Oreochromis niloticus: one gene and its partner. The protein of the gene in region 2 interacts with the protein of the main gene of each other region in a pairwise test. Links are inferred from orthologs where the notes say so. Each region holds a gene or a part of one and is shown on either strand. Other genes may lie near its edges. The genes, in order: si:dkeyp-72e1.9 and klhl42.

Region 1 (15,404 bases), on a different chromosome or scaffold from region 2:
CGTTGTCTCATCCTGGACTGTGGTACTGACGTTTACTAGTCCCCGGCCTTCTTCCTTCCACTTAGCATCTCAGGATGCTTCACCTAGGATGAAACCCTCCATGCCGGGTAAGGAGCTTCCTTGTCTTGATGTCAGTGGCTTCTATCTTCTCCTTTGGCCAACTTATTATCCCAGCAGGGTACCTGATCATGGGCAGGGCATAGGTGTTGATGCCTGACAGGTGCTTCTATGTGGTACTGAGGCAGGTTATTGGCTGGTAGTTGGATGGGACCAGTCCCTTCTGGGGGACCTTCGGTTAGCCATTCTGGGTGTCTCTCATCGACTAGCAGCTGGTTTATTTGTACTGCCAGACGCTATGAACCCTGTCATTTGGATGGGACCAGTCGCTTCTGGGGATCCTTAGGGATCAGGACCGTCTGGCCTTCAGTTAGCCATTCTGGGTGCATTTCATCCATTAGCAGCCTCATTGTGTGCAGCCAGCTTCTTCAGCCAGTAGGCATGAATCATACTGATCAGATCAGCTGATTAGTCTCAGTGATGGTTGCAGTAGGGATTGTCCATAGTGCTGCATTCAAGTACTGCTTCTAATAGACCTTCAGAGGGTTATTCATGTAATCTTGCTAACCAACAACAGAGCTAACCTGTTGAATCAAAGCTGAAAGTTTACTGTTTGCTTGCTGACCCGATCTTTACTATGCAAAGGAGAAAAACTCCAATATGGATAGAAAATGAATAAAAACAATTGTAACAATCTTGGCACTACCAATTAAATTTAAATAATTTAAATAATTTAAACAACAGTAACTATAACTAAAGTCAGTGGACAGATTTATTCCAAGTTCATGCGTTTTATGCACACTTTACACACACAGCTTCTACAGCTCTAACAGCCCATCTGACTGCTGCACGTGGATCTTTCATCACTGCACTCCACAGAGAATACAGTAGAGTTAACCCTGAAATCAGGGCTTCTTTAGCTTAAGGCTTCCACTGGCCTGCTGGAGCCAACACAGAGTGGTACAACTAATTGGGTCTGGAGTGAAGGGCTCAAGTTAATTATCGCCTGTTGGAACAGTTTCACTCCTCCCATCCTTTTGTACTCTTCTCTGAGGAAAACAGTTTCTTGTTCTTTTAAACCTCAAAGCAGTCTCCTCCCCTCATCTATCATCAGATAAGAAAAACATGCAGCTGGAGCAAATATGAAAGACTTACACCCCTTGTTCTTATTCAGCTTTGCATTTACTTTCCGAATCATTACTTCCCGTTCATAATGAGTCAAGGGCATATTTCTTACACAAGAACTGAATGTTCCAATACTTTCAGATCTAAATAAAATGTGGGGTTATTCAGTGTGATTACAAAGGTTCTTAAAATGGTTTCTTATCCCCCAGATAACACAAGAATGTGAAATATAAAGTCTCTGTTGAGTAGTGAGAGTGATTTTTGAAAACAGTCTTCTTTAAAGCACAAGCTGCAGATTCTGCCAACATGTCAACAAAATGAACTGTGACGGACACGATTTTCACTACAAACACTGTCCCCTGCCCACAGGCTCATGCTGTACAGCTTTCAGCTGCACTAACACAGAGATTCAAACGTGCTGTCCTCCATGTGCGAATGTATGCTACAGCAGCCCTTCCCCCTGCTGAAAGCTACATGTGTACACTAAGGAAGCCTTAAGACTTTAATATATGTATCAGAACACTGTGTACACCTGCATGTGCTCAGGTTGGATGGGCATTAGCTGCTTTGCTTCTCACCTGCGTGCACATATTGAGACACAGGTTGGCTTTTACGCATCTTCATTCTTCAGACTTTTTGGCTTTCCAGTAAGTCAAAAAACCTTCATGACACTTACACATATGTATAAATACAGCACAACCAATTCCTTAAAATCACTGTTATGCCAAAAGCATAACTGGATAGAAAAAAAAATCCACAGTGGCCAGTCCATGACTGATGGTTATGGACCAGACCTCAACATTATTGAAGGGTTATCTTAGGGTTATCTTAGGGTTAAGGGTTATCTTAAGAGAACATCCAAAGAAGAGCTTTGATTATCCATCAAGAAGCCTGGAGAACTTTTCCTGAAGGATACTTAAAGAAATGACAGAGTCAGCATGCTCAGTCAGTCAGCTGCCTCTGACGGTTCAGGCTGTGAAGAAGAATAAAGGTGTTCACACCAAATATTCACTTTCAGATTCTCTGGATGCATGTCTCTTTGCAGGTTTCAGTAAATCACTGGACCCATTTCTCATTTTCCTAGCCAAATATATATTGTATAGCATACATATATGCATTTTACAAATGCATAAAAAATGCACACAAATTGTGTGCATTTTTTTTTTTTTATTCGTCAAATGAGAAAACAGAGCTGCCCTATGTACTCTGACTCTCTGAATTCTGTTATTTAATATTTATTACTTCTTTAAATGTAACATTTCAAGAATAATTGTAAACTTTATGTTCAGAACTTAAACATATGCAGTTTTATTTATATACTGCCAAATCACAAGTTGCCTTGACAGTGCACAAGTTCTTTATGCCATCAGCTTCTGCAAAAGTTACTAAACACCAAATCATGTAAGGCATCATCTTGGACATGTCAGCAATAATAGAGTAATACAGTTCTGTTCTGAGGAGATTTATACAACCACATAAATATATATGTGTGGACATATAAATATGGACATAAATATATCTATATAAAGCAGTTTTGCTTCACTGTGATGTTTGGCAGCTTGACAGTAGTTGCATTCGTGGACACGAGCTGTTTTTCTTGCTTAGGCACAAGTTGCAGCAGCACAGTGATAGTGGATAGTAGATAGTGGAAGTGGAGGATAAAAACAACAGCAGCTCCTGTATTCTTAACCCCACTCAGTTAAGTAGGTTATGGCTTTGACCTACTTCCCCTGGTTGGCAAACACAGTGATATGTACCTACTCTGCAAATCCCTTTAAAACGCAGAGTAATATTATTTTATTTACTCATTATCATGCTCCATCGCCAGTGGTTAGTGGAGGATGATTGAATAAGGCTATGTAGATGATTTAGACTTGGTGTAAAGAACTGTATTCTGTAAATTCATGGCTTCATCTCAGCTTGTATGTATTTGTTCAACTATTGGGTATAAAGTGTCAGACCACTACGTCCTGTGAGGTGAACAGTTTCTCTCAGAACTCAGGTTATGTTGACACACTTGCAGAAAGCTCTAGATCACAAGCTTTACTCACGAGGCCGAGTCTGAAGTGGATGTCAAGCTTGGAGAAGCTTCTCCTCTGATAAACCTGCTACACAAGGGATGACAATGTTGTTCTGCTTGTCATTCAGTTTCTCCCTAGCTAGTGTCTGACCTTCTTTCCTGTGCATCTTTGCTGATTTGATGACAGTTCTGTTGGGATAACCACATGTTTTAAGAACTTTCTATACATGTGTGTTCCTTTCCTTTCTCTTCTGCCCAGTGTTGCAGGGTCCTGATTACTCCAAGTTTGTGTTCCACGAGATGTTTGGAGTCAAAGAGTAGGTACTAGCCTGTCTGTGTGGGCTTCTGCTAAACTTCAGTGTTGAGGTTTCCATTCTCCTCAACACAGCACAGTCCAGAAATGGCAAACTATTATTCTTCTACTTCTTGGGTTTTGATTTTGACCCAGGTGTCATCCACATCTGTGCCGGTCTTTAGGTGCTGTTCCTCTGAAAGAACCAAAAACTTTACTTTCCACTTCCTCCTTATAAAGGTTGGCTACAATGGGTGACACTGGGGAGCCCATGGCACATCCATATTTTGATGTAGAAACCCTGGTTGTATGTGGTGGTAAGGCAGGGTGAAGCTGATTCTGTTTTCTATGGCGCGGTCTTGCTGTAGCTGTTTACTGACAGTTTCCACTGCCTCGGTTGTACAAGTGAAAAGGGAGACCACATTAGAGGACACGATGGTTTCATCTGGATCCAACTTCTTTGTGGATCTTTGGAAGTCCATATGTACAGGCCATAGCATGCCCTGGGTACAAACGGTGGTATGGAGGCCAATCCTTGTCTTTTCCTTTGGAGTTGTTGTAGACAGTTGGTGACTTTCTTTTTGTAGTTGTTTGTGGGGTCTCACGTTAAGGCTACATAGGTTGTTGTCACTGAGGAGTGTATGAATCTTGGTGTAATAATCAGTTGAGTTTAGAACAACAGTGCATGTCCCCTTGTCAGTTGGTAATATGGTGATGTTTTGGTCTTCACTCAGGGATGTGTTGGCCTTCTCTTATTGTACTGTGAGGTTAGACGGAGGAATTCAGGTTGTGTTAATTTGTTAATCCTCACTGTTTCCAAGACTGTGAAAAGATCCACTATTTGCAGCTGTTGTGGAGAAATGCCAAATTGGCTTTGGCTAGCACATTCTTTCAGGTTCACTGAGGTTCCTTTCCACCCACTTATCCTGTCTTTGGTTTGGTTGTCTTCCTGTTCTTGTCCAAATGGTCTAGGTGTTGGTAAGTTTTTGTTTGCAATGTATGGAACTTCCAAAATCGTTCTTTTCCTTTAATGTCTTGTGGAAAGTTTGCATTGTACACAAACTAATGGATCACTAAAGTCAATGTCATTTCATGGACATTTTTTATTAACTACGTTACATTACAGAGTACTAGCTACTTTTTGAGTAATCACTATTTGAATGTCTCCCTCACTGAATAAACTTGAGCTGTGTAAGCAGTCAGACAAGTGCAAGTGAAAAAATGAAAGAACTTTGGTTTGCAGGAGCTTAAGTTGAGCATCTTATTGAAGTTAAAGAGCCAGAGCAATAACTACAAGCAGCAACACATATGACCTCTGCAAGCACAAAGGAGAATAGTCGAGTGTTGAGGTGTGTTACTTGTGGGGACAGAAGTAAGAAAAGACTTACCTAGGCCATTCTCACAGTCTGTAAACTCCATGGAATGAACAGCTCGGTCGACTCCGTATGGACCCATTAGTGTCCTGTTAGAGGTGAATGGATAAAAAGGAAGCGGGAAGCAGGGAAGGGAAGGAGAGTGAGGAAGAAAAAGATGACGAAATAGGGAAAAAAAACCCAAAATCCAACTATTTTCTTTCACAGGCTGCACAGCTACACAGTCAGAATCCATAGGAGCACTATAGTGTTGGGAACTTAACCTCAGATAGCTTATCCTGACTAGGCCTGAGACTTTGTCACCACACAAGTCAAGGAGTGTGTCTTGAGTGTGTGCTGCAGATACTTGGTTGTGCAAATGAGAGTCTTCTATACATTATGTATATACATTACTGTCAAAAATCTTTCTCAAAATATGAACACAAAGGTGTATTTTTCCTCACACTGCTGTTTGAAGACAAGACCAAATACAGCTGTGACAGTAGCAGAGGAAGCAGAAATGAGACGGCAGCATTGGGTAACTCAAAAGCATCTTGGTAAGATCTCACACAGTGAGCAATAATCTCTGAGAGATAGAGCTGGCACACATGTTGTTCATCTTATGCAATAATGCCGCACAAGAGGACTGCACACTGCAGCTTTCCCCTTTTTTCTTCATTACTAATCCTCATCTAACACTTGCAAAGCATCCCTTTGCTTCCCTCATTAGACACTACAAAAGACAATGCAGAATACTGCAAATGAACAAACCATTTTTGGTATCTGGAACGATGTCTTTTTAGCACTTTATTTTAGTTTGCAGTTCCCTTCCTGTCTACACCCAAATGAAAAAAAAAGGACTATCAACATTTTAGCTGCAGAGGGTTCACCACTGCTGCCAGTAAAAACAATGAGGCTGAGGAAACTCTGAACTCCGGGCTTTATGAATGTCGCAGCAGAATGCAGCTCTGTGTACAGAATAACAGTCTTCAAGCTTCAAATTCTTTAGATGATATTCTGATAGCCCAGCTCATTGGCTGATAACACAAAGACGCAACATTCAGCATGGAGCTGGACATTTTAACATCATCTGTTAAGGATGGATATAGAAAGTCTCACACTAGAACACCTGAATTCACTGTTGTTCTTTGTATTTTTGTGGTTTGGATTCATTTTACTGCATTGGGTTGTTTTCGATCAATGGTCATGACAATTTGCATATTAATGATCAAGAAACTGACCTCACAGCCCGTTGTTCAGTGGTGCTAGTTTCAGTTTTTATGCAAATATACTGTTTATAAGGTTGGGGAAACCTGCACTTGAATGAGTGACGAAACGTTTATCCTACTGAAAATGCTACATCCACATTTTCCAAAAAGAATTTTGGATTTGTATTCCTCGGACCAGAGATCGGTTTTCCTCTTTGCTACAGACCATTTTAAATGAGCTTCGGTCCAGAGAATCATTGATCATATTCACATATGGCTTCTTCTTTGCAGGGTGGAACTTTAACCTGCATGTGTGGACAGTACGGCGAGTTGTGGTCCCACACAGGAAGTGTTTCTGAGCCCATGCATCGATTTCCACCACACAATTGTGCCTGTTTTTAATGCAATGCTGCTTGAAGGACCAAAGATCGCAAACAAAAAAAAAGAAAACGAAAGAAAATTGTGAAACTGCACCACAGTTTGTTGGCAGTTTTTTCATCAGCCTCTGCCTCTCCACGACACTCTTTTCATACCCAGCTGTGTTACTTACTAGTTAACCTAATTAGCTGCTAAATGTTACTCCAGCTGTTTCTTTTCAGTACCACTTACTTAGTTTTTGTTGCCCTGACCCAATTTTTTTGAAAGATGTTGATGCCATTTTCATGAAATACAGTCCTGATCAAAAGTTTAAGACCACTTGAAAAATGGCAAAAAATCCTATTTTGCATGGTTGGATCTTAACAAGGTTCCAAGTAGAGCTTCAACATGCAACAAGAAGAAATGGGAGTGAGGCAAAATATTTTTTGATCATGCAGTTTATTGAAAACAACACTTTCAAGTGGTCTTAAACTTTTGATCGGGACTGTAGTAAAATGTTTCAGTTTAAACATTTGATGCTTTCTCTATGTTCTATTGTGAATAAAATGTGTTTTTACACCACATCCCAACTTTTTTGGAATTGTGGTTGTACAAAGGTCACATTGGCCAGGAGTTGGAAAGCAGCCACGATGGTTCACGTAACATCTCCATATATATTTTAGAATCCAGCTGGTAAAATCCACAAAAAGCATTAAACCTCAAAACCAGCACAGGTCAGCTGATCAGTCATTTCCTGCCACTGAAGAGCTACAAAGGTTCCCCCCTTTCCCCAGTCCCAGTTTAACCCTCAGGTCTACAGGTACCGTTTGCTGAGTAATTGTCATAAAAAAAAAAAAATTGAGTGCACTGAGTTATATCACATTCAGACCAATACAGTGGCAAAAGTTAACCTGATGGGCATGACCACAGACAACATAACGGATGGATGAGGCCAATGTGAATCACCGACCGCTTTGTTTCCAACCTGGATATGGCAGTGAGGGGTGGATCCAGCTATGAAACCACCTGCTCATTGGTTAATGCCTTGTGTGTTTCCAGAGGTGACAGCAGATGCCCGTTTACCCATGTAACACTACAGGACTTACAGTCTTTTTGCAACTACAGCTACTAACCCCTGAATCCAGGTTCATACAGTCTATGGGCATGACAGGAGTCACGAATACACTCGCTGAAGCTTGGTGCCATTCAAAAACCTCAGTGGTTGTGTTGTTAGACACACATCGATGAAGTATAACTTGTGGCATGAGAAACATACTGTAAACATAACTGCACAATTCCCTGAAGCAGCTCCACACTGCCGACTGCATCATTCACCCTAACGGATAAAAAGTCGATGAGACAAGCTTCCAAAAGTCTGTCAGTAAATGTTCCAACTTTGGTAAAACATATCAACAAATCAGCAACATTTAAGGACAAAATCAAAGAGCCACACACAATAAAAGCACAGATTCAATATTAAATGTCCACAATGGAACCCGCTAATGCTCCCAACATGTTCATGAGAGCTGACAAAGTGCCTCATAGAGTCTTTTCACAGTAAACTTGGGACAGCACCTGGTCTCCGGTGTGGAGCTCATCCGTTTGTAGCACATGCAAGAAAGATCACTGCATCATCTCACCCGGAAAACTAGAACATATCGATAAGCCTGAGAGAAGAGCATGAAGCACGGCTCTGCCTGAGACACGAAGCAGAAACATGCGCCTGTGTTACAGACGGACAGTCAGCGTCACGGTTACCAGATAAAGCCCGAGAAGACACGCGGTGTGTTTGGTTTCCACGGGACAGGGCTATGGTTAGTAAACGCGTCTCCGTGTTTACAGAGTTCAGCTGTCAGCATCGTGTCACTCCACCGCTGCTGTCACACAGACTAACCTCCACCTGCACACACAACCGCTCGCTTTTACCTGCTGATGATCACAGCTCCTTTGTACATGACTGAAAACGTTGGCATGTTGACATGGAGCCCGGTTCTCCGGTGAGACAGGCGGAGGCTCGGTCGCAGCGTTCAGCCTTCAGCCAGCAGCCACATGACGGTGCACAGGCACTAATTCCAGCGAAGCAGCCTGTGCGCTCCAAACATCTCCACCTTCAGCCACACGGTTAATCTCTTACATAACTAAAGTCGGTGGAAAATGAAAAAAAAAAACCCCCTCTGAGGCTGGAAATGATTCGGTGGTTTGTTTCTCACACATTTCTCTCCCCACTTGTCATTTTCTCTTGCTGTGGCCGTGCAGCGGCTTTATTTTTGTTGCGGGGAACAGCTCCATTCAACGGAATCTGGCTTTTCCCCTCTCTGTGGATGTTTGTGCTACTTTTATGGTAACGTGTTTAATTGTGTTTGGCCACGTTACGCTTGAACATTAGTCTTTCCATAGATTCTACCCACACTTCCATTTGTATCAACCACAGCTTCTTTTAAGACGATATTGGCCATTGCGCTAACAAGTTGTTGAGCCAAAGAGAGGGAGGGGCTTACGAGCCTTTAAACACATTAATGCACAAGTGCCCTACTCTCCATTTAGAAACTGCAATTTAATCCCCAGATGACATCCATTACTCTGCCTTCATCTTTTGTCATTCAGACCTTCCGTGCTGTCATCTTCACTACTCAAACAACGATTCTTCATTTTGGCTGTATTTTGATCAGCTGATGTTACAAAAATGCGAGAAAGAAAAAGAAAAGTTACCACAGTGCTGTCTCAGCTCAGTGCTGCTAGGAAGGGTTTTTGGTTAGAGACAGCCTCATCCGTGATCCCTAAAATGAATTTAATGCAAAGACAAAATCAATCAATCAAATGGAGGCGACAACGCTTAAAGATACAACACTGATCACTGTAACTGAGCTGTTTGTTCAAAGTGATCAAAGCAAAAGAAATGTGCATACAGCCGAGCAATCCCACACTGATTCCACCCAGCAACATGACACAGGTGAAACCTGCTGAACCTGCCTGTGTTTGGATTCACTGTTACATTACACTACATTCATAAATGGGGGAGCGTTCCAGTATACACTCTGTGGTTTCTTTTTGATTGAATTTGGTGTGTAACTGTTCTAGATTTGAGGTGTAATTTTCTATCAGTAAAATATCCTTACTGGTAGGTACAGTACAAGTGGAGGTTTGAATAGAAAAAACACACTAAGTATATTTTTTAAGGTTCTTGCCTCTAAAATTCCCTGAAATTATCATTACATGTAGATCCTTACAGTGTCATTTACCAATGTCCAAAGCCACTTAATAATTCAAAAATACATAAACATTCTTTCTCATATGGTAATTTTAGTTGCTGAAAGTTACCCCCCTAAACGAATAAAGAAATCATGGTGACTGGTCAGTAATTACACCATTATCTGTGAGCTGTATTATGAAGTGCTGCCCCCAAATAAAGTTGCTGAGTGACACGGGCCTGAGGCTGCAGGAGGTCCAAGCAGAAGAAATCTTTGACACAAACGATAAATAACAGAAAAATTCGTAGGAACGTTTCCTGGAGCACCGGGTGCTGAGATATTTGTGAGCAGCTTCAGCCTGAGCCACGAAAACAGCTGAAAACCTACCTGGCAAATCCTAGAGGCACTTTGAGCCTTTGAAGCATGTCTGTGCTGTGGTGCAAAAGCCTGGATGTTAGCTTGTGGTTGTTAACATATACTCTGCATATTTCCAATCATGATGCACCGCAGCTGCCAAGCAGATATGGAGAGATGATATTGATGAAGACATGATAAGCTTATGCACACAAATCCATATGGCACAAGCACGTGCTAAATATAGGCCTCTGCAAGAAGGCTGTTCAAATACTCCAAGCACAGATCAGACTGTATGACACACACAGAGTTGTTACATCTCAGTGGGTTTATTTCTTGCTTTGTGTGTGAAACAGACTGCAGTCTGCTTTGCTTCAATCTGTTAAAACTTTTTAAATGTGTATTGCTATTACTTCACACTAAAGCTGCCCTAATTATCTTTACGTGTTTTCTCTTTCATTCCTGCTTCTTTACATTTTCTTCTTAACTCACTGAGTTCTAGTTACTGTGCATACTAACGTTTATTAGTTCCTAACTTTACATCAGTCTCTGAGCTTCTTCCTTTAGTTAACATTACTTCCTTTTTCTGTTTCTTGCATTTAGCTTTACTTCCTGCCTGTGGTTGTGTTGATTGTGTACACCTGTATCTAATTACCATTAGCATTTACTCTGTGTGTATAGTCCTGTTTGCCTCTGTTGAACAGTTTCTATTCTACGGTCTGTGTGTTTTTGGACTTTAACTTTCTAACAAAAGCTTGTTCTTGTGTTCTTGGAGCCTGCCGTCATGTCTGCAGTTGGTTCCTCAGTATTTTTGATATACAACCTGCATGTTTCCTGGAAAGTACATTTAAACTTTTAGTCTGTGCAACATAGATTGTTTTGGGAGACGTTTTTGCCATGTTAGGCTAAACACAAATTGATAAAAATACCAACAGATAAACAAAAGACACCCAGGCGTGTTCAGCATAAATAACACATTAATGATGTTTGAAGCATAAATCCTATCACTGATGTTACCATTACCAGCACTAAACTGCTATGTTAGTTGAATGTCCCCACTGACCTCTGTAGTCTTATTTAACACTCTGATTTTTAGGTTTTAAATCTGTTTTTGTTTTTTGTGAATCGGATGTCACTGATGGGATAAAGAGCCAAGATATGAATTGGAGTTTCACATCCATGTTTGAGGCTTGGCTGTGCGGAGATATCGCCTGCATGGGTTCATTTAGACACAGTAAATAGCTGTGCTCAGTGGGGCAAACAGGAGCCCAGAGAGAGCCAGCCTGGCAAGTCTGAAAAATGAACTCGGGTCTGTAACTTAGACACAGTTATCCTTATTACTGCTGCAGTATGGGGACTAGCCAGGCTTCCTCAGAGATCAGTTTCAGAGACTACTCAAAATGAATGAAAATGCAGAAGTGTATACTCAGTGCATTTCAGTTCAGGTGACTAAGATTTAAACCAGTCAGCTTATATTAGGCTGTTATATTGAACGATACTCATGCACTAATAAAAGATTCTATCTGTCCATGAACAAAATGACATAAACAAGCTAAATTTAATGAAACCAGTTGACGAGCAGATTAATCTGGTGTGGATCCACATCATATTCTTTAAAAGGACAGCAGTGTGGTTATTGATGCTGATAGACCCTGACGCTCTCTGAATTCTGTTCCGACTACACGCTGGATTCATGAATTCAGTCCGTGCTGGTAAATTCATCTTTTAAGCTTTTCAAAAACTGATCCTAGCCCAGTCTGACTATCACGTGGACTCACGTGTGATTACACACTCAGGTTTACAAGACCTAGTTAAAGATATTGTTATTAAAACAAAAAAGAACCTTACTGTTCAATCTTTCAGTTTTTCAGTTCAATAAAATATACCATTATTACAGTGACAGCAGAGATATAGTAAAAACAGTTCAAAACCATTAAACCAGTGAGTTGTCTAAAGCCAGGACAAGGTTTGTGATGTTTTTCAGCTGTTGGGATTAAAGAAACTGGAGTCTTTCCAGGCCCTTACCAAACCCTGAGGTCTTGTACTGACTCCAGAGACAGGATTTGGGAGCACAGATGTAAGCTTGGCTAATACTTGACTGCAGTGGTAGCCAACCTGAGATTTGTCTCCAAATGTGAAGCATCTCATCCTTTAGAGCCTGCACCAGGCAAGGCTTCACAGTCCCAGACACTTTCCACAAAACACAAACAGACCCTCATCACTAACTCGGCTGTCCACGCTGCATACAGTTCCCAAGCACTGGGAATACATTGGCTTTTAAACTGTAAATGCGGGCCAATAAATCCAGAGTTATGATAAAAAATATACATAAGCCTTGCTTTTCTTTAAATACTGTCGTCATGGTTTTTTTGTGTGTTTTTTAATTTTTTTAAGCGTTTTCTAAGGACAGCAAGAAAACAGTAAAGAAAGAAAAAAGCCACCTCTTTCCTATCGATGGGAAATTGTACCATTTTTTAAAAAAAAAGTCACGTGGGATTTGGTTGTTTAGGAAGAGGGGAAAGTTTTGGGAGTGAGGGTAACGGCAGCGAGTGAGAGAGCGAGCGAGTGAGAGAGAGAGTTTTTAGATGTGGGAGATTTGTGATGTTCAGCGTGGAGTGTATCATTAGTGTGTTGTGTTGTGTAGTCGTTGTTTTGTTTTGTGTGTCAGTGAGGGCACTAATGAATGTCACAAAAGCACATTTGTAATGTAAACACTGTCACTAAGTAGAAAACCAGCGGAGTGATACACCTGCTGCTGTCAGGCCTGCAGGTTTCTCCCTGTGCTGCTCTCCTCTGTCTTTTGTTACTGGCACACATCATTTGTGGGGCATCTTATTGCGAAACCTGATTGTTCTCTCATTTTAGTTTTAGTAATATTTTTAAATGGTTGTACAAAAGAAACCCTGCCAGGTGTATTGGCTGCATTTATAGATAAATAGTTGTATATGTTTACAAAATGTGTGCTTCACTTTTGAAAATGTACAATTTATATTTGCATTTCATGTTATAAAAATAATTTACTCAACATGTGTGTGTGGGGGGGGGGGGGGGGGGGGGGGTTACGGTAAAAAAAATACTACTAGGAATTTAAGTACGTTGTGTGATTTCAGATCAGTAATATTAATGCAGTATGTCAGTGAAAAAACAACTAAATTCAGACACATGAGGTTGAGCTGAAAAGAATGATACCAAACAAGGCAAGGGGAAAAAATACATTGAAACAATTTGAGGGTGAAATACAAACGTAAACTCAAAAGGAGTCAAAATGTCCGGTTGTATTTCAGACCTCAGTGGGTTCATCCAACAAATCATGAAAAATTAGGTTTAAATTTTTGTTCATGACAGTGCAGATTTCTGACATTTTGTGAAAAAAAACAGTGTGAAACTTAAGTTAGTCCTGTGTTTGTAAATGAACCGCCCCATGTTGTGTAGCTTTCTACATACTCATTGGGCTACATATTTATTTATTATATAGGCTGTACTGTAGATAAAATCAAAACTCACATGTTTTATGCAACTAAAGTGTTTAATTATGTGGGCTACAGACAATAATTAAGTTATAGACTATATTTATATGAAAAACATGTATATTTACTGCATTTGAATTATTTTAACCATATGTAACCACCTGCGTATGTGTTTGAAAAAAAAAGGCCTTGATTTTGCCACCCCATTTGATTTCTTTGCCACCCTAAGAAAATTTCTCTAGATCTGCCCCTGACTGTGAGAAATGATCAGGTGTGCTGTGGAACATTATCTGGTTCCACCTGATTGGTACTCTAAGCGAGCGGCGTGAGTAACGGGCAGAACAATGACATTCTCTACCACTAGAGGGCAGTACAACTACCTGCTCTAATAAAATGGGTTGCTGACTGGCAGTAAAACAGAAGAAGACGAGGAAGAAATAACATAATAGTCATGCTGTGAGTGAGACGATGCAGTGTGTAATAGCAACAGATAAATATTTGAAAAGAAAAAGTGTTCAGTCTGACCTGGTCCTGGAGAAAACTCTGACCCAGGTGAAGGCCCGAGCATGAGTAGTGGTTAGAAGGAAGCAACAAAGGTAAACTGGGGACAAACTGAGCCAGTTCTGCTATATCTGGTGGAAGACTTATCAGTATGCTTTTGGTGACATTTCTGTTTGGTGGTGTGCCGTGGGATTTTTCTAAAGTGAAATATGGACCGTGGCTCCAAACGGCTGGGAAACACTGGTGTAAACACACTGCATACTTCACTAAAACATCCCATTAGTTGTAAAGTTGCACATCTGAGCCATAAATGAGCTGAGACATCACTGCACTTCTTGTTGCTTTTCACATTATTTGTTTTATTTCTTTTTTGCCTGGGAGCATGAGCAGCTGAGTGAGTATGTGAGCGATGTGTGCTCTCCTTTGTTTACATTTGACAGTACTGAGGACATACGCACACACTGTTCTGTCTCTTTGTGCGGTCGTTTCCCAACAAATGAACACAGTGTGAGTCTACAGAAAAGAAATGATAGAGTGTTTTTTGAGATTTTATTTTGTATTAATTATCTAATGTCTTTGGTTCCATTGTGTTTGTGTTCTTCTGTAACACTTGAAGATTTTGACTGGTCAGAATTAAGATTTTAGTTTATTATGTATGTCTCTATATCATGTTGTGTAATGCTGCAGCACACGAATAAATATGTAAAGCCCACATCCCCACATCTCTCCTAGAAGTAACAAGGAACCTTTAAGCTTGACAGAAGTAGTTATTTGAATTCTATTTATCATCATATCTGTTTAAAGTGAGATAAGATATCACATAGCCTGTTCACCTGTGTGCAGTTCAGCTTCCTGTCTTACTTTGTCTGGTGTTTTATTTCCTGTCTGTCATCGTGCTGACTGACTTTAGCTGTCTGTAGTTCCCCAGGTATCTCCACTTCCCTTCTTACCTCCTGTGTATTTAAAGTCACTTTAGGCTCAGAGTGTCTGTGTTCATGGCTATTATCCCGACTCATGGCTGCTTTGCATAAGCCGTGGCATTTTGGATTCTATTTGTTGCCTTTGAATCTAAATTCCACCTTAATAACGGTTGTTTTGTCGTTGAAATAATAGCTCCAGGACAGAATAAATGATGGAAGACAACAGCAGCTCAACCCTGATAACTTACTGTAGCTCATTGTACCGCTGAAAGGAAGAGGAAAAAAATCATGGATGGCCAAGCCCTTACATGGGACTAATCATCAGCACACGGAGGAAGTTGCATTGTCATGTAGTTAGACGAGAGGCGGCACCAAATCCAGGCCATGAGGCCATGATGAGTAAAGAGCTTTAACCTGGAAGAAGCACAATCTAAAATGAAACAAAAAGAAACAGAGAAGCTTCCAACTAACACACAAAGTACGAGAGAGGACCACAAACAACGGAAACCTGAACCAAGGAACCAAGGACCAAGGACCCAACTACAGACATTAGATACACATAA
Region 2 (15,805 bases):
ATTGGTCATGACCTAAATGTCCAAACTGTCAAACAACCACTGCAGCAGTTTCAGACTCACTTCTCAAACCTGCACCCGTCCCTCCATTCAACGCAGAAATGAAAACAAAACTTGCTTCAGCAAAAATCAGAAAGTAAACACAGCAATTTTGGTCGGTTGCTGGAAATGTAACAGAGTCCTGCATCTTGTGCTTTTTTTCTTTTTTATCCTATTTACTGAGGTTGCAAAAGGCACGTGTGCATCATTCAGTTCATGGAATTGCGCTTTAAGCCTTTCTTAGTGTCTCTCTGAAGAGTAAGACTGTGCAAGTGTTCATACAACACATGAAGCTCCCTCTGAAAGAACTTCTGATCCTCCTACGACTGGCAGTGTAAAACCAAAGCCACGTTATGATTACCTGCCATGTGCAGAGCATTAATGCATGTTGCTTCTGAGATTTTTTTTTAAGGTTTGTAGTGTGTTGTGCTGTGTTATGTTAAAGTTTGATGCCAATGGAGTGTAAACATCAGGAATAACGTGGCCGTTAGTTTTGAAAGCACGCTGTTATGCAGCCCTCATCAGTGCCTCTCATGTTTTGTATGGTCGTGGATGTAAAAGTGGACACGTGCATGTGATTTTAGCGTTTTAAGTCTGCTTAAGACAAAACAGTGGCAGCAGGCAAGAGATCTGCACAGAGCCTAACTCGGAGTGTCATGTCTCATTTCTAACACGGACGTTTTTTTAAATCGTCTGAAAACTCTGGGTGCTGAAATATTTTAGTTAAATTAAATTAAATAAACTAGACAGAAAGAAAATAAATACAACTTTTTTTGAATTTACAAAATCAACCAAAAGAAAATAAAAATATAAAGAAACTGTCAGTAGTTTTAGTGTTTGAGGTCTGTGCTTACTAAGTCATCTTGTTGCAAAAAAATGTTTTTACTATAATGATTATTCTGAATTTTGTTAAGCCTGGGACCTGCTAAATATCCTCCATGTAGTAATATATTAAAAAAAGAAACTAAAACTTTGAACTAAAGAAAAGAATTAAAACTAATTAGTAATGTTTATTATTATTTTAATTTCTAATTCAGCTGTATTTAATATTTTCTTTTAGTTTATTTTTTGTGTTTTTGTTAAATAATTTTAACGACTGATGGAAAAAGTGTGGACAGAAATGTCACGCTGTAAAGGTTAGAGTGACACAGCATGTGAAAAATATACAGGATCCAGGCTGTGCGCAAAACTAGACGAACAATAAAACGGTGTTAATTTCCAGTTTTTCAAAAAATTCATTTTAACTTCACGGTCTGCAAATATATCTCTCAAAGCTGTGTCTGAAAACTGTCACTTGTCAAACAGTCTCTGATGCATTAACTGCAAATAAACAGCACACCATTTTGTCCCAAATGCTCATCCAGCGAACCTCTCGCCTACGGGAGGGAAAACTCATCCCCACAGTGATGCTGCAGACTTTTCAGTCTTTAGAAATTCATAGAAAATAAACAAAAACGAATATTTTGCATGTTAAACTAGAAGTTTTGAAAGTTGGACTTCAGCTTGGTTTTCACATGCTGGGTCACACAAAGAGGTTATGTTGTTAAAGGTCTGTACGTGATATAATTTACACTGTTTGTATTGAAAAATTTTTCTCATCTGAAATATATTTATAAAATGTTGGAAATAAACTAATAATAATAATATTAATATTATTAATGATAGATCAGTTTCTCGATGGTCTCAATACAACAGACTGGCGTGATTTTACACGAAGAGCCTGACATGTGTGGTAGAAGTGCAAGCATTGCTCCAGCGGGCCTGACCGGTGTATTCTGGGGTTTACAGTCACCATCCGATTGTTGTTGTTTTTTTTAAAGACATAAATGTCTCAAAGACGAACCAACTACCGCCATCAGAATGAAATACTAGGTGTGATCATAAAGTTTGTGACTTTGGCTGAACTTCCTGTGATTTTTTGGAGATTGTTGCTTTGCAGTCTCAGTCTGACCACTGGTACTCGACATCCCTTCAAAATAAAGTTACTCTTGGGAAAAGGGATGAAGTTGTAGTGTTTCTCCAATGATATTTAATGATAGTGTTTCTCAAATGATATTTGAGAAACACTCAAACATTATTTCCAGGACCCTAAAAGACTATTTTAACCATATGAATGCTGTTCCTCCACCTTTCAAATCTGCAATCCAACCAACATGTGCTCATCCAGATGGTCAGAAGAGACTTTTTGAGGGTTGTGGAAATGCCTTCAAATGGCAGCACCAGCTGGTTCTGTGTTTTCTAAACTTCACCTGGTGATTATTTGATGGTGACTGCTGACTTTAACACATGAGAGGCACAAACTGGTGCTACCTCTGATGATGCTTTGGGCCACACTTGTGATTATAGCTTTTCCATTTGCATCCACAGCAGTATCTTTAGCGTAGTGCACGTTTTTTCAAGTTTTTTAATCCGAGGCACGGCGGTCACGAGGCATTCAAACTGCCAACCACACCCTGACGCCACAGATCCCCAATGAGTGCAAGAATAATCGGTCTGTTAACGGTGTTCGAGCTTTCCCACCGCTCTGCCGGTCACAGCACGTTAGGAAGGTAAAGTGAGCAGAGCAGCATGTTCTGTCCCAGAGCCGGGAAGCGCCTGAAGGCCTCCCAAGCATCGGAGAAAATGTTGTATTTGAGAAAAACGCGGTGCTCCAGGCTGGTGGGCAGGCTGACGTCCCGGCTCATGATGTAGATGCCGTCGTTGTGCAGCGTGCACGTCAGGTTCAGTCCCGACTTGGACGTGTTCTCCTTCAGCTGGAGCCACTCCCCCGTGGTGACGTTGTACGACTGCACCGTCAGCACGTCCTCTGTTTGGCTGGGACGTCGCCGCCGCAGCCCCGTGTCCAGCTCGTGGGTGTAGCCACCCACCAGGTAGATGGTGTCCTCCACGGAGAGCATCTGCTGCTTCCGGATGTGAGCCGGGCAGGATCGGAACGTCGTCCAGGTGTCAGAGATGGGGCAGTATCGGAGGATGTTTGTGTTCCTCTCTGTCCAGTGTAATGAATGGGAAGAAGAAGAAGAAGAAAAAAAACTTTACAAGAGTAATTGTTACATATTTAATATTAGAAAGCCCAAAATACAAAACGCAGTGACTGAATAATTAACAAAGAGAAACGTAAGAAGGTGCTCCAACATAAACAAACCGATAATAAAATAAAGAATAGTTTTTAAATTTTATAAAATCTCCTACAACCTGGGAGATGCATTCAAGTTGCTCATCTTATTTAAACAAAAACCCAAATATGGAAGCAATAACCGCTTTAATATCCTGTTCACCCAGCAGCGCTAAATCCCTTATAATTAAGGATATATAAGAGATAATCCGGGACAAGGTGTCCTGATTATAAACGATATGTTGCTGACTGGTAAAGGGATAAATACACATTAAAATGAAGAGTTTATAGGATTATAAGAAGCAGGAACAGCTCAGTAGACCCAAATATGAAGGATCCAAATAAATAAATTACTCATTATAGAAATAATGAGTAATTCAGAGATCAGTCTGGATGTGTAGTCACTACCTTACGGTGCATGAGCAGTCCATGCTTTAACTTTAAAAGTTTAATAACTTTTTGTGTTATTTCTCATTTCAATTATATTTTTGTCTTTTTGCTTATAGGATTTATTATTTTTTACTTTACTTAAAATTCACGTTGGGCACTAAAATGTGACATGGACATAATGATTCTAATGAATGTCTTTAGAGTAGTTTTTTTAAAAAGGGTCAAAAAGTGATCTAATTTTGTTTAAGAAAAGTAAACTGCAGCTCAAGAAGAACTGAATCTGAGAATATAAACAGCTGTAGGTAAGAAAGATCCAAAAACTTCTGGTGGGTGCAGCAAAGCCTGCGTCTCTAGCAGCCAGCAGGGGGCAGATTGTTAAATTGTACAGAAGTGCATGAGAAAAGGTCCTCGGCTCCCTCTTAGTATGAACTCAGTAAACACTTTGCTGATGAGTTTATGGCTGCAAAGCACATTATGTTTGTTTTGTAAACTGTGGTCCCATTAGAGTCAAAAAGGAGGGTGAAGCTGGATGTTTCAGACTTTGTTATGAACAAATCACCATAAGAAGCTGCAGTGTGGAAACGCGATCAGATTTGGATAATCCCAAATCTTTTATAGTGAGGAACGGAAAACAAAGAAAGGGATGGATACACTTCTGTTTGTGCTGTTGTCTTGTACAGCACTGTGACAGTGTTACAATAAAGCATTAACGGTATGTAAAACATCTACTTCAAACTGTCAACAGCGACAAAACAACACAAGGACAACGTGACAAACACCACAGCCAACTGAGAGGAGGTGCAACAATACAACAAAAGTAAATCTGAATTCACACAAAGTCATTTTCGGTTTAACTCACTTTTTACTTAGTCACCTCACAGTATAAGGAAAAGACACTATCCTGGGTATCTGTGTTCTGTTTGTTCCTCTTCTCTCGCTTCCCTTATTTTAAGCCTACTTTTTTCCCCTTGTGACGATTAAACTTAACAAAACAGACATCTTGATGTTTTCAGTAAAACGTGCCTGCCTTGATATAAGCGTTCCAGTTACCTGACACTAAAAGTAAAAAACAGATGATCCCTTATGAGCAGCACATGGCGACAGCAGGGAGGAAGAACTCCCTTTACCAGGAAGTCTTCTCCAACAGAATCACTGTGAGGTGCAGCCATCTGTTGAGACTAACCGCAGGCTAAAGATACCATACCGCCATCAGGGAAGTTTTTACTCTGTGGAATTAAGTTATGTTTTTTCCCTTCATTTCTCAGAGGCTTTTTGGAGGAGTTATAACTACAGTGCCATGAAAAAGTAGTAGTCAGGACTGGGTGTGGCTAAGTGAAACTGAACTCAGTTTTCTAAAAAATGCGGTTAATCACAATTAATCTATGATTTAACATAGATAACATAGTTAACATATTTACTTTTTCACACAGGGCAGGTAGATTTGGATAACTTTTTTCTCTTAATAAATGAAATTATCTTTTAAAGACTGCATTTTGTATTTACTCAGGTTATCTTTGTCTATCATGTCTATTAAAACTTATTTGATGATCTAAAACATGACAGATATGTAAAAATCTATGTATTTTAAATACCACAGTTGAAGTGTATAAATCATCCTTGTGTAGGACTCACACTGTGGTTTCTGCTGTGAAATGATTCATGTCACCTTTAACCTCCAAATGTGGGCCTTTTTTGCTCCTTAAAAAATAAAAAGTAAACTATTCATCTGGTGTGCATGGACACAAGTCAGTGCAGGTCAAAGTTCATGTCAAGGAGAAAGAATCACTAGATGAAAATTCACAGTTACTCTCCAAACTGTTGTCGGACTGTGTTGGCGTGTTAGTGTATATGTTACTGTAGCTCCTGTACACACACCTCTCGCAGTGTATCCACCCATGACGTAGATCATACCCTGGCACTCACAGGCAGAGAACTCAGCCAGCGGGTCGGGCATCGAGGAGACGCAGGTCCACCAGTCCTGCTCAGGGCTGTAACACTCCACTGTGCCCAGACACTGGCCTCCCACAGCGTACAGCTTTCCCTGTACGGCCAGCAGCTTGAAGTTGGACCTGCACGAGAAGAATCAGTGATTGAAACGCGATGGCAAACAACCAATAAGGACCAAGAGGGGACTTGTGTTACCTCTTCTGGTTGAGCGGCGCCACCTGGTTCCACTCATTCCTGCAGGGGTTGTAGCAGTGCACAGCGGAGATCTCCTGACTCGTCATCCTGTACCCGCCGACTATGAACAAGTAGTTATCGAGGATGGCCGACCCATACCCCCTGACGTTGATCATATCTGGAGGGAGGTTATTGGCGAGGGGCTTCCAGCGCTGATCCACCTCTCCATACCTCAGCATGGACCAGGGCTCATCCTGATCCGGCACATCCAGGGACAGGCTGGTGAAGTCTCCGATGGCCACCAGGGTGGCAGTGCCATTCATGCGCATCTCCTTGACTTGGTCCCTGACAGCAGAGGCCAGGCTGCTGAACTCAGGCCGCCTCAGCATGGGGTGGTAGTAGCAGGTCATGTATTTGAGGCAGGCGGTACGCAGGTCGTGAGTCCCATACACCTCGGAGAGGCTATACAGCTCCACGCAGTTCTCCAGCCGGATCTCCGAAGTGAGGAGCTTAAGGATGGAGGTGACCTGGAGGAAGGAGGCGGTCTCGATCAGGTCCTCCAGAGTCTCGTTGACTACCTGGACTTTGGAGGTGTTGATGAACTCCAGGACCAGCTCCAATCCAAGGACGCTGAGCCCCTGCAGCTGCACCGAGTCCTCCGTGGACTCCCTCATCCCCGAGCTGTACAGAGCTCGGAAGTAGTCACTCTTCTCGATCAGCTTCTTTTTATTCACTTCGTAGGTTTTGTCATCCATGATGATGGCGATGATCTGCTCGGATGACATGGTGAAGATGGTGGTTTTGGTCTCTCAGGCTGAGTTTTGTCTTTGCTTTCCCTTTCTCAGTCTCCCGAGCCCGTGGCCGTTTACATTTCACCGGCCAGGGAGCTCCGTGCCCGGTCTATATATGGTAATGTTCAGCCCGTAGATCGCCATGGAGCTGGGAAGCTAATCAGCTAGCTGCAGAGGCGCTGCTACCGCTCCCGGATAAACCGGCCAAAAGAAGCTTTTCCCCGCGATGGCATTCCTCCACAACTAGGCCCCACTTTCTGAGAATGTTGGTTGAATATCGCGGTTTGTTTCTCAGCCTGCCAGGAAGGTTTTCATAACATTTTACGAGCCTTGTGAGGGACAATGTCGAGCTGTCAAATTTAACTGTTTTGATTCTGCACCCCACATCATATGCGTCTTCTTCTTCCATTGGAATTATCGGCAGATTAGGCGTATCAAAGACACCTTACTGCCCCCAGCAGGTCATTAGTAGAATTACATAACATGGTTTAAATTAATGATAAGTTGAATGTTTGATCAACTTTTTGATTAGGCTATTGATTGTTGTTATTGTTTATTCATTTATTTCTAATTACTTGTTTTATTTACTTTGGCTAATTTTGATTAGTTAGTCGTTAATATTTATTTAGGTTTTTTTAATTAAATAAAATTTAATTTGGGGTTTTGTAAGAGATGCTATTGGCTATGGTCACCTCAGCTTGACCATAATTTCTTCATATTTTGGTTCCAAGGAGCCAGACTTTCTTGTCATTTTTAAAGTGGACTTGAGCAACAGTTCTCCAGGATTTCTGAATATCTTTTATCTAAGTTTTTCTTTGGACATTGGCTGATTTTTTAATCATTTTCAGTCCAGTTCTTGTACCTATTTACAGAAGAATGATTTCCACTTATTAGGTCATTTAACACTAACCCTTGAGTCCATGAAGCACTAAAAAAAAACAACAATGCTGTGTCTTGCAATAATACATATATGACAAACATAACATAACAAAACAAAATGTAAAATAAATATTATAAAGTATATAAACAAAGTAACGGTACCTTGGAGTTGTGTCACTGGCGTTGCTGATTAAGAAAAGCCTTTTATTTTGAAGGAAAACACCGCGGTGCCGACATCTAATGACTTCCTGTAACATGTTTCCTGCAGCTCTGCAAAAAAATTGGTCTAGTGAGTCCAGTATCTCTTTTCATTTTTCAGACCTTTTTTTTTATAGCATAATTTCATATGAAGCTTTTAGTTGAAGTTGTTAGGGAACTGAAAAAGAAAGAAGAAAGAAATTTTGTGAGAAAAACAAGACTGACAACATGTGGTTTGATGCCCTGTAGCTGCCATTTTAGAAAAAAAAATTAATAGAAGTTGTCACTGGTATCACCTTGATTATGAATCACAACAGACCTGTTACAACTAACTAACACCACTGTTAACCATTAACAGAAAAAAAAACTTAATCGAAAGCTCTTCATGAAGTTTTAAAATAATAATAATTACTATTAGTAGTAGTAGTAGTAGTAGTAATATTATTAGTATTATTAATCCTGTGTCTAAATCAATTCCACCCAATCCCTGGGTGGTTTATTGTGTCACTGATGTTACTGTGCTTTGGGGTTTGGGGAATTTTTTTTCCATTGTCACAGCAAATGAACTCTGCCAAACTGTACAAGATCCATTGATTTCTGTTACACTTAAGGGTCAACATCAAAAGGATTGTGACACTACTCACTATAACAGTTGCATAGCAAATAAATGGCTTCACAAATGAACAAACACTGTGCAATCACACTTAACAAATGAAAATAAGAAAACATAATCCCCTGATTTGTTGCATTATGAGTATTCTTATGCAAGTCCGACTACATGTGCTGAAGAGACTGAGGAAATAATATTTATCAAAAGCCTTTTATATTGCAGAAGGAGTGAGGTAACACCATCCAGTCTGTAAGTTGATGTACAAAAAGAGATTAAAAATCATTAATCTGTCTTTTTTGTGAATATTAAAGTGAACATGTTATGTTATAACATGATCTATGTGTAAACATTAGAAAAATAAATCAATTTTAGGACATTTCACCATCGCCAATTCGGAGTTTATGTAGAATGACCCATAAATACAGACAGTTCAGTTTTAAAAATGTTGAATCCTTGTTACACGGTGCTTTATTTTTAGGTATAACTAGTTATTGTAATGCTGCAGAGAGAAAATTACAAACTAAATAAATGTTTAGAAAATATTTTTACATTTATTGTATTTTAAATTATAAACTTTTTTCCATCAGATGCAGATCTCATTATTCACATTAATGATTAACTCTCTTCACTAACTAATATTCAGAGACATTTATTTTAAGATCTTACACAGTTTTTACTGAGAAAAAGGACACCGGTGCACTGCATAGATTTTTAATTAAAAATAATAATAATAACCACACATTGTAAAACCCTGGAGAATAAACACAGGACAAAGGTGTTGTGATAAAAATTGAGGTTCATAGGACGTAACAAGACAGCTTTAATTTGAAAACCTGTACCGGAAACGATTTTTATTATCAGCCTGTTGACGCTGTTGTGGGTGGAGGAGGGGAGAATAGGTGAGACAAGCAGGCGGGAGCATCAATGATAGGGACTCTTCTCGTGCGGCCCGCTTCGTGTTTGCGGCTCCAGGCAGCGGACACCCGGCGCTCTGTGACCCGGACTGAGGATGAGGGAGCAAGCGTGGGCCTCCCGGTCCGCACGCTGCAGCTTTTTACTCAGCATCGCCACCACCACCACCACCATCATCATCATCATCATCGCCGCTCATACATCATCAGTTAAAGGCGCCGGAGACCTGCGGCCGTGTAATAAGGTAAGCGCCTGTGCTGTCATCGTTATTATAATTATAATATCTGCTGCTTTTTAAAAACACAGATCCCGCTCCGCTTTGCTTTTTCTTTATCCTAGAATAAATGATCAGGGCAACAAGTCAAAATGGCCATGCATGCAGGAGTAAATGTGCAGAATAGATTAAGATAAAATAAAATAAAATAAAATAAAGAAAAGAAAAGAAGGATTAAAAAAACAAAAATAAATAAAAACAATGTAAGGGCTCCAAGTCGTTTTGCTGCTTTACATTGGCTCGGCTCAGCTCGGGTCTGGATCTATGCGCGCCTCGTCCTTCACGTCGCTGATCGGCTTAAAATGCCGTTCATGTTGACTATAAACACCCAGCTGGAATCCTTCTCTCATCCCCTTCTGAGCAGCCTCATGCCGGCCAGCCCGACCGGGATTACTCGCTGAGGAGGACAGAGAAAGGCTGCTGGCACGGTTCGCTCTCTCAAGCCTGTAAGGATGACTTGAAGGAATAGAAAAAGAACCTTTTTGCCCTCTAGATCAGCGGTCCCCAACCTTTTTTGCGCCACGGACCGGTTTATGCCCGACAATATTTTCACGGACCGGCAATGAGGTGTCGCGGATGAATACAACAAAATAAAACTAGTGCCGGTACCGAAAAAAAGAAGATTTATTCATAACACACGTGAAAAGACCCAAGAAAACCGAGTTAACGATAAAAACGATAACAAAATAACGTTGAAAACCGATAAAAACCCTGAAAACCATACGTTTCACACCTGAGCCTCAACTCTCGCGGCCCGGTACCAAACGACTCACGGACCGGTACCGGTCCGAGGCCCGGGGGTTGGGGACCGCTGCTCTAGATGGTGAGATTTTCATGCGAGGACTGATACTCTGTAAATGAAAAAATAGCTTTATTCTTATGGTCACTAGGGGGCGACAGCTGTGGTTGAAAATCGAAGTCCGGTTATGAAGAAATGTGTGATCCGGCAAACACTTTTAGCGATTATTTATGGACTCATTTGCTAGTTTTTAGTAATACTGAACAGATCGAACACTAAAAGTGCTTTATATTGTGAGATAAGTATCCTGCCATATTAAAGAGAGAATGATGAGCCTGTGGGCAAGGACATGGTGAAAGAGGGGAGGAAGAACTTTCTTTTAGCAGGAACAGACCACAGCAAAATGTTAGCATTCAAAATATCTTAAAAATATGTCATACCAGGATAAATATGTATCCTTATCACTGAAGATTAGACTCTGTATAACATATATATGACAACAAAAATTTCATATGGGTTAACAAAAACAAGTTTATTTAGTTTGTTAAATCAAAGTGACTTATTTAATATCCTTCTCTGTGAATACACTCCTGCATTTTATGACGTCCTGCCTTCACCTGGTCCAGAGAAAAGCTGCTAGTTATGAACCACTTGAGTATTTAAAACAGAAAACAAAAATAAAAAAGTTAATAAAGTGCATGCAATCCTAGCTAACATTATCCTGTTAGATAGTTAACTAAGTTATCAGTTACTGCAAACACTGTGGCAGTCACAACTCCATATAATGTCAGACAATATAAATAAACTATAAATGTTCTGAAAGCTAAAAAAAGTACAATTAAAATAGGAAATAACAACTACTGATCATTAACCGGATCACTGTGCATGTAAATTGAAGCACAATTCAACTGTGCTATTACTTTTGAGGTCACAAATTAAGTTTAATGGCCACTTACTATCATTTCCTATTGAAATGCACAATACAAGAGGGTTAGTGAACCTTTCATCTAACTCTTGGCAAAAATAATAGAAGCAAATGTCTCTAAATGGTAAATAAAAATGTTCCACATCTTAATATAACTCAATAACTAAAAAACTCAGCATCATTTCTCGTCAGAGTTTGAATTCTGGGTAATAAAATAGGATCCAGCCTCTGTTAAATTACAGTTCACTGCCATCAGTCTGTAAAATCAATAAAACCTACCGCACCCTGCATCAAGGAGCCGCTAAGCCACTGGGAGCAGTTATCATTATTAGATTAGATGAGATTCAGCTTGATAGCTGTCACACAAAACATGGAAATACAGCATTTAAAGAGGTGTGAAATGTCTGAACAATGGTACAAAATGAATACGTGACGGAAAACATCAGCAAAGTCTCGATCATTCTCAGTCTCACTCATTTTCAGTCCAGTCCTTGTACCTGACCTTTTTTTTGTTTGTTGAACCTGTTAACACTGACCTATGAAACATTCAAGTACACAAAAGGCACCAAACTCAAGGGGTGAAGCAATGTTGTGTCTATACATAACAGACAACAAAGAACTAACTTTAAATGTCATCTTTAGGCACTTTGTTATCAACAGTCTGTCATATAAACATATTGGTTCCGATTTCTTTAGTTGAATGTATAAAAAATGTCAACGATGACATATTTTGATCCACCATCCAAAACCATCAGGAAATCATCTGATTGGCAACATTGGCTTACATTTTCGGCATGACAACAAATTCTAGGCACAATGTCATGGGTTGGCCTCCCCAGAGCCCGGATATAAACATTACTGAATAAGTGTGGGGTCATCTAAAGGAAGCCTACATCCAAAGAAGAGCTTTGAATGTCGTTCAAGAAGAAATTCAAGAAGGCTGGAAGTCTTTTACTATGGAATCTGGGACCTGCTGTGCATTGTGGGATTAGTAGTTCCTTTATTGATAAACATAATTACATGTATCCAGTATTGCACCGTTGCCCTTGTTAAAATCTTTTCTTTATCCTTTTGGTCCAAATCAAATTTTTTTAGTATCATGGGTCATCTTGTGGCTGGCTGGTTTGATTCAAGGCTTTAAACTCTTTATATAAGGATTTTCTGAACATGGAGAAAATGAATGGGGAATTTTACTTTAGGAGTGAGGGGCCTTAAAAAAGCGGGCACTGAAAAGTTGATTCCTTATTTTAGCTAACAATAGCAGAAATAAGGGATAAACTGTTGAAATGGTGACTAAACATCATGTTAGGCAGGGAAAAATTAAAATTACTGGTGGTTTAAACACTGAGTGTAGGTGTACATCAAAATAAAGCATGAGAAGTGGTGTTACTAAGGGGGGTCTTTACATCACCTGAATGGGCTTTCTGGGTATGTCAGATGAAAACGGTTGGAAACCTGACTGATAAAGCATAAACAGTTAGCAGTGATATAACAGCTGTGTGCTGTTTTCTAAAGATGACCTTAATACAGCTTCAGAAGTTTCCAGATGTTTTTTTTCTGCACTTAAAAGAATACATTGTTAGAGAGATTAGGGTCCTATCAAATCCTCAAACCTCTGCTGTAAAGAGGCACTGAATTTTATCCCGTCCCTGCTCGCTTCCTTCCATCAGTCTCTATGACAACCGGCGTGAGTCACCCAGGAGACCAGCGAAAGGCATTAGCCCGTGTCCTTTTCTTTTTTATCAGCGTCACCTTTCCCCCACTGTCAGCACATTAGCCCTCTTTGTGTGCAGAAACACAGAAAGGTGAATCTGAGCGCAGGTGATGCTGCTGCTCGCACGGCAAAGCCTCCGTTTGAATGTTTGCTGGCGTGTTTGTCGGAGGGGGTGCGGCATGAATGGCCATGTTTGTTGCTGCGGCGAGGTGATTAGTCATTTAAAAGAGCTCAGGCTTATCTGCACCACGCACACGCATCTGACATCTGAAAGCCATCGCTCTGGCACCGATTGACTCTGTCAGGTTTATCGCTGCGATTGTTTCAGTTTAATTAGCTGCTGCTCGGATGTCGGTCGGCGCTCCGCTGATTTGTTTGTCCAGTTGAACAGCAGGATCGGGGGAGGAGATGGAGATCTGCCAGAGCGAGGCTTTGGACTCAGAGGAAGTTGCTTTAAAAGTACAAAAAATGCTTTTCTTTAGGTTTTGTTGTGCTGCCGCCACTAATAATTATTTTCACACTGATTCATTTGTGGATTGGTCACCATAATGTGTGAAATTCAAAACTATAAGCTAGCATCACTCAACAAGTCCAATATCAGCTGATGCATGGACAGCTGGCTGGACTTGACTGGTTTCTAAAATGGAAAACAGGTGAAAACACGTGTTACTAATTACATTAATCAAGTGTAATTTCTGTGACTAGTGACACCCGAGTTTACCTTCTATTTCATATCAAAGTAGCTGCTGTGAAATACTAATAGGTGGTATAAAAGATACAAATGAGCATGCCAAAGATAAGCCTCATTATATATATTAAATGAACTTCATATTTTATTCAGCGCAGCTTGAAAAAACTAGTGACTGACACAAAGAAGTCAGCAGGAAGGTTTTTATTTGGGGCTACAGATCAATTCAGGTTCCCCATATGCTCTTATACAACCGGAGGTTATAAATAAATACATTATAAATAGTATGTAAGACATTTTTTCATTATTACTTGTTGGGGCCTCGTTGTAAGATTTAAATATTTAAAAAAATTATTAAAGCAAACATAAAAACAGGATGTTATTCAAATACAATGTGTAGAATAGAATAAAAATCTAAACAAGGTACCAAAACCCTGAAAAAGCTCTGTTTTAGTGCCCTTTAAAATTAAGGGCACTAAAAAAGAGTGCCTGTGGATGAGCATTCAGTTCCCTCAATGAGCATGAGGTCACAGCCAGCAGTCCTTTGATAAGATGACCCGCTAACACGCTCTTAATGGACCATTAGAGGACCGGCGGATGGTTGCTGTGGACATCGAGGTCAGCCATCTTTTTACCCTGTAAAAGTCTCCATGCTCTCCTTTGTACGACCAGCTTTTGTTTAATGTGGAATCAGCAGCAGTGCAGTGTTGTTACTGTCAGGCTACACAGGGTCAGCTCTTATTGGGGAAGCTATGTTGTACTGTATGTGTGTGTAGCCTGTACCGGCAAATTAGGCAACATTAGGCAAACAGTGCTAAGGGGAAAAATTTGAAACCACCAGTCATTTTTGGTCCAGTTTAACCTATCCACCAATCCACAGATTTACTATTTCGTCCATTAGGACTTTCATTCTTTACTCACACACGTGTGGTATTTAAAATGTTGTCTACAGTGTAGTTCTTGATGACTCTGATGAAAGGCACAGCCTCACCAGGAAAAACGTGAGGTTTGGTGGGTACAAACAACCTCGACCTGATGATGATGCTAGATGAAAACTCAGAGTATCACCAGCAGTGTTGGGATTCCCTCTGAGGAAAATCTAACAATAGCTATACAGCTGTTTCACTCAAACCCACAAATATGAACCTTGAGTCAGGGAATCATCAACGTGAAACAGCCTCATCTCCTAGGAACCATGAATGGATACCTTATTGATCTTTCTATCTGCGTGTCTGTGTGTGTTTGTGTGTGTGTTCACCATGCAGTCAGACTACTACTACCAGTACACAGAGTGCGACAGCACAGGGTCACGATGGAGGGTCGCCATCCCTGTGCATCCAGGCTCCTGCTCAGATCTTCCTCCTCCAACCAGAGGCACTGAATGCTGTGAGTACCACCACAGTGTGTGTGTGTGTGTGTGTGCACATGCCAACACAACCTCTCTGTTCCCTCAGCCTTCTCATGCCCGGCTGGGAAGTTTTTGGAGATGTCCACACAGCAGTGCACGCCGTGTGCGGCCGGTTCTTATTCTTTGGGCAGCGGCCTTCGTTTTGACCAATGGGACGCCATCCCTGCGGGCTTCACCAGCTTGGCCAGCTTCCTCGACACCGGGCCGAATGGAGAGGACATTCAGGCCTGTAAAAGGTGGCGCACACAGCATTACCATTACCATGGAGATGGGTATTCATGTATTATTGAATATATAACAAGATGGAGTATGCTGCCGCTGTGTTTTGCTCTCGTTGCAGCTCATCGTGGACGCCGCAGGGCGTGTATCTGGAGTCCAACCGTGACGAGTGCACGGTGTCCCTGGTTTATGCCGTACATCTGGAAAAACAGGGCTCTGTCTCCTTCACCTACCAGTACCCCGACAACAACATCTTCTTTGAGTTCTATGTAAGCACCTGTAACTAAAATAGTAAATAAAACCAAGAGTAGCCGTGTTTTATTTGATTTATTGACAATTTAGATGATTAGTGATTGTAAATTGGTTGTAGAAGACTACCCGTGTGCAGTGTGCTCAGCTTCTCGCCCAGCTTGGTTAAAGTTTTTCGTAACTTGTGTTGCTCGTAAACTATTTCCTTGAGAGTTTTGTGAAAAATTTTGGTCCAAATCACTAATTTTTTATATGAGATAAGATGAGAATTTCTCATAATTACAGTAGCAAAATGAATAGAGCACCAATAAAAAATAAACTATAATAATACTACACAATAACAGAGTACACTCCACAAAGTAGAAATAAATAAATTTAAACATAAATATGATTCATTCTGTTTATGCTACTAAAAAACTTACATGCAAGACCTTTAAAATCTTGCTATGAAAGAAGACATTTTTAATTATTCTTATATTGGTTAATGAATAATGAAGGTAGTCAGGAGGCGGCTGAGCTTACATTTGCGCAGAGAAACAG

The links.
Region 1: the proteins of klhl42 (region 2) and si:dkeyp-72e1.9 interact in a two-hybrid assay, tested with the Homo sapiens proteins (2 studies listed by BioGRID and IntAct). The two-hybrid records come from large-scale screens. The link is inferred for Oreochromis niloticus from reciprocal best matches to the Homo sapiens genes KLHL42 and STXBP4.

The regions. Positions count from the first base shown.
Region 1 is NC_031969.2:436,736-452,139, forward strand, and holds the start of si:dkeyp-72e1.9 (syntaxin-binding protein 4), read right to left. Parts: upstream 8,301-15,404; 5' UTR 8,271-8,300; coding exon 8,170-8,270; intron 4,957-8,169; coding exon 4,883-4,956; intron 1-4,882. UniProt on the Homo sapiens protein: Plays a role in the translocation of transport vesicles from the cytoplasm to the plasma membrane. Inhibits the translocation of SLC2A4 from intracellular vesicles to the plasma membrane by STX4A binding and preventing the interaction between STX4A and VAMP2.
Region 2 is NC_031981.2:17,140,670-17,156,474, forward strand, and holds klhl42 (kelch-like protein 42), read right to left. Parts: upstream 6,867-15,805; 5' UTR 6,445-6,866; coding exon 5,681-6,444; intron 5,608-5,680; coding exon 5,414-5,607; intron 3,023-5,413; coding exon 2,568-3,022; 3' UTR 2,199-2,567; downstream 1-2,198. Other genes in the region: UPF0577 protein KIAA1324-like, read left to right, coding at 9,147-9,293, 14,655-14,775, 14,844-15,033, 15,138-15,285. UniProt on the Homo sapiens protein: Substrate-specific adapter of a BCR (BTB-CUL3-RBX1) E3 ubiquitin-protein ligase complex required for mitotic progression and cytokinesis. The BCR(KLHL42) E3 ubiquitin ligase complex mediates the ubiquitination and subsequent degradation of KATNA1.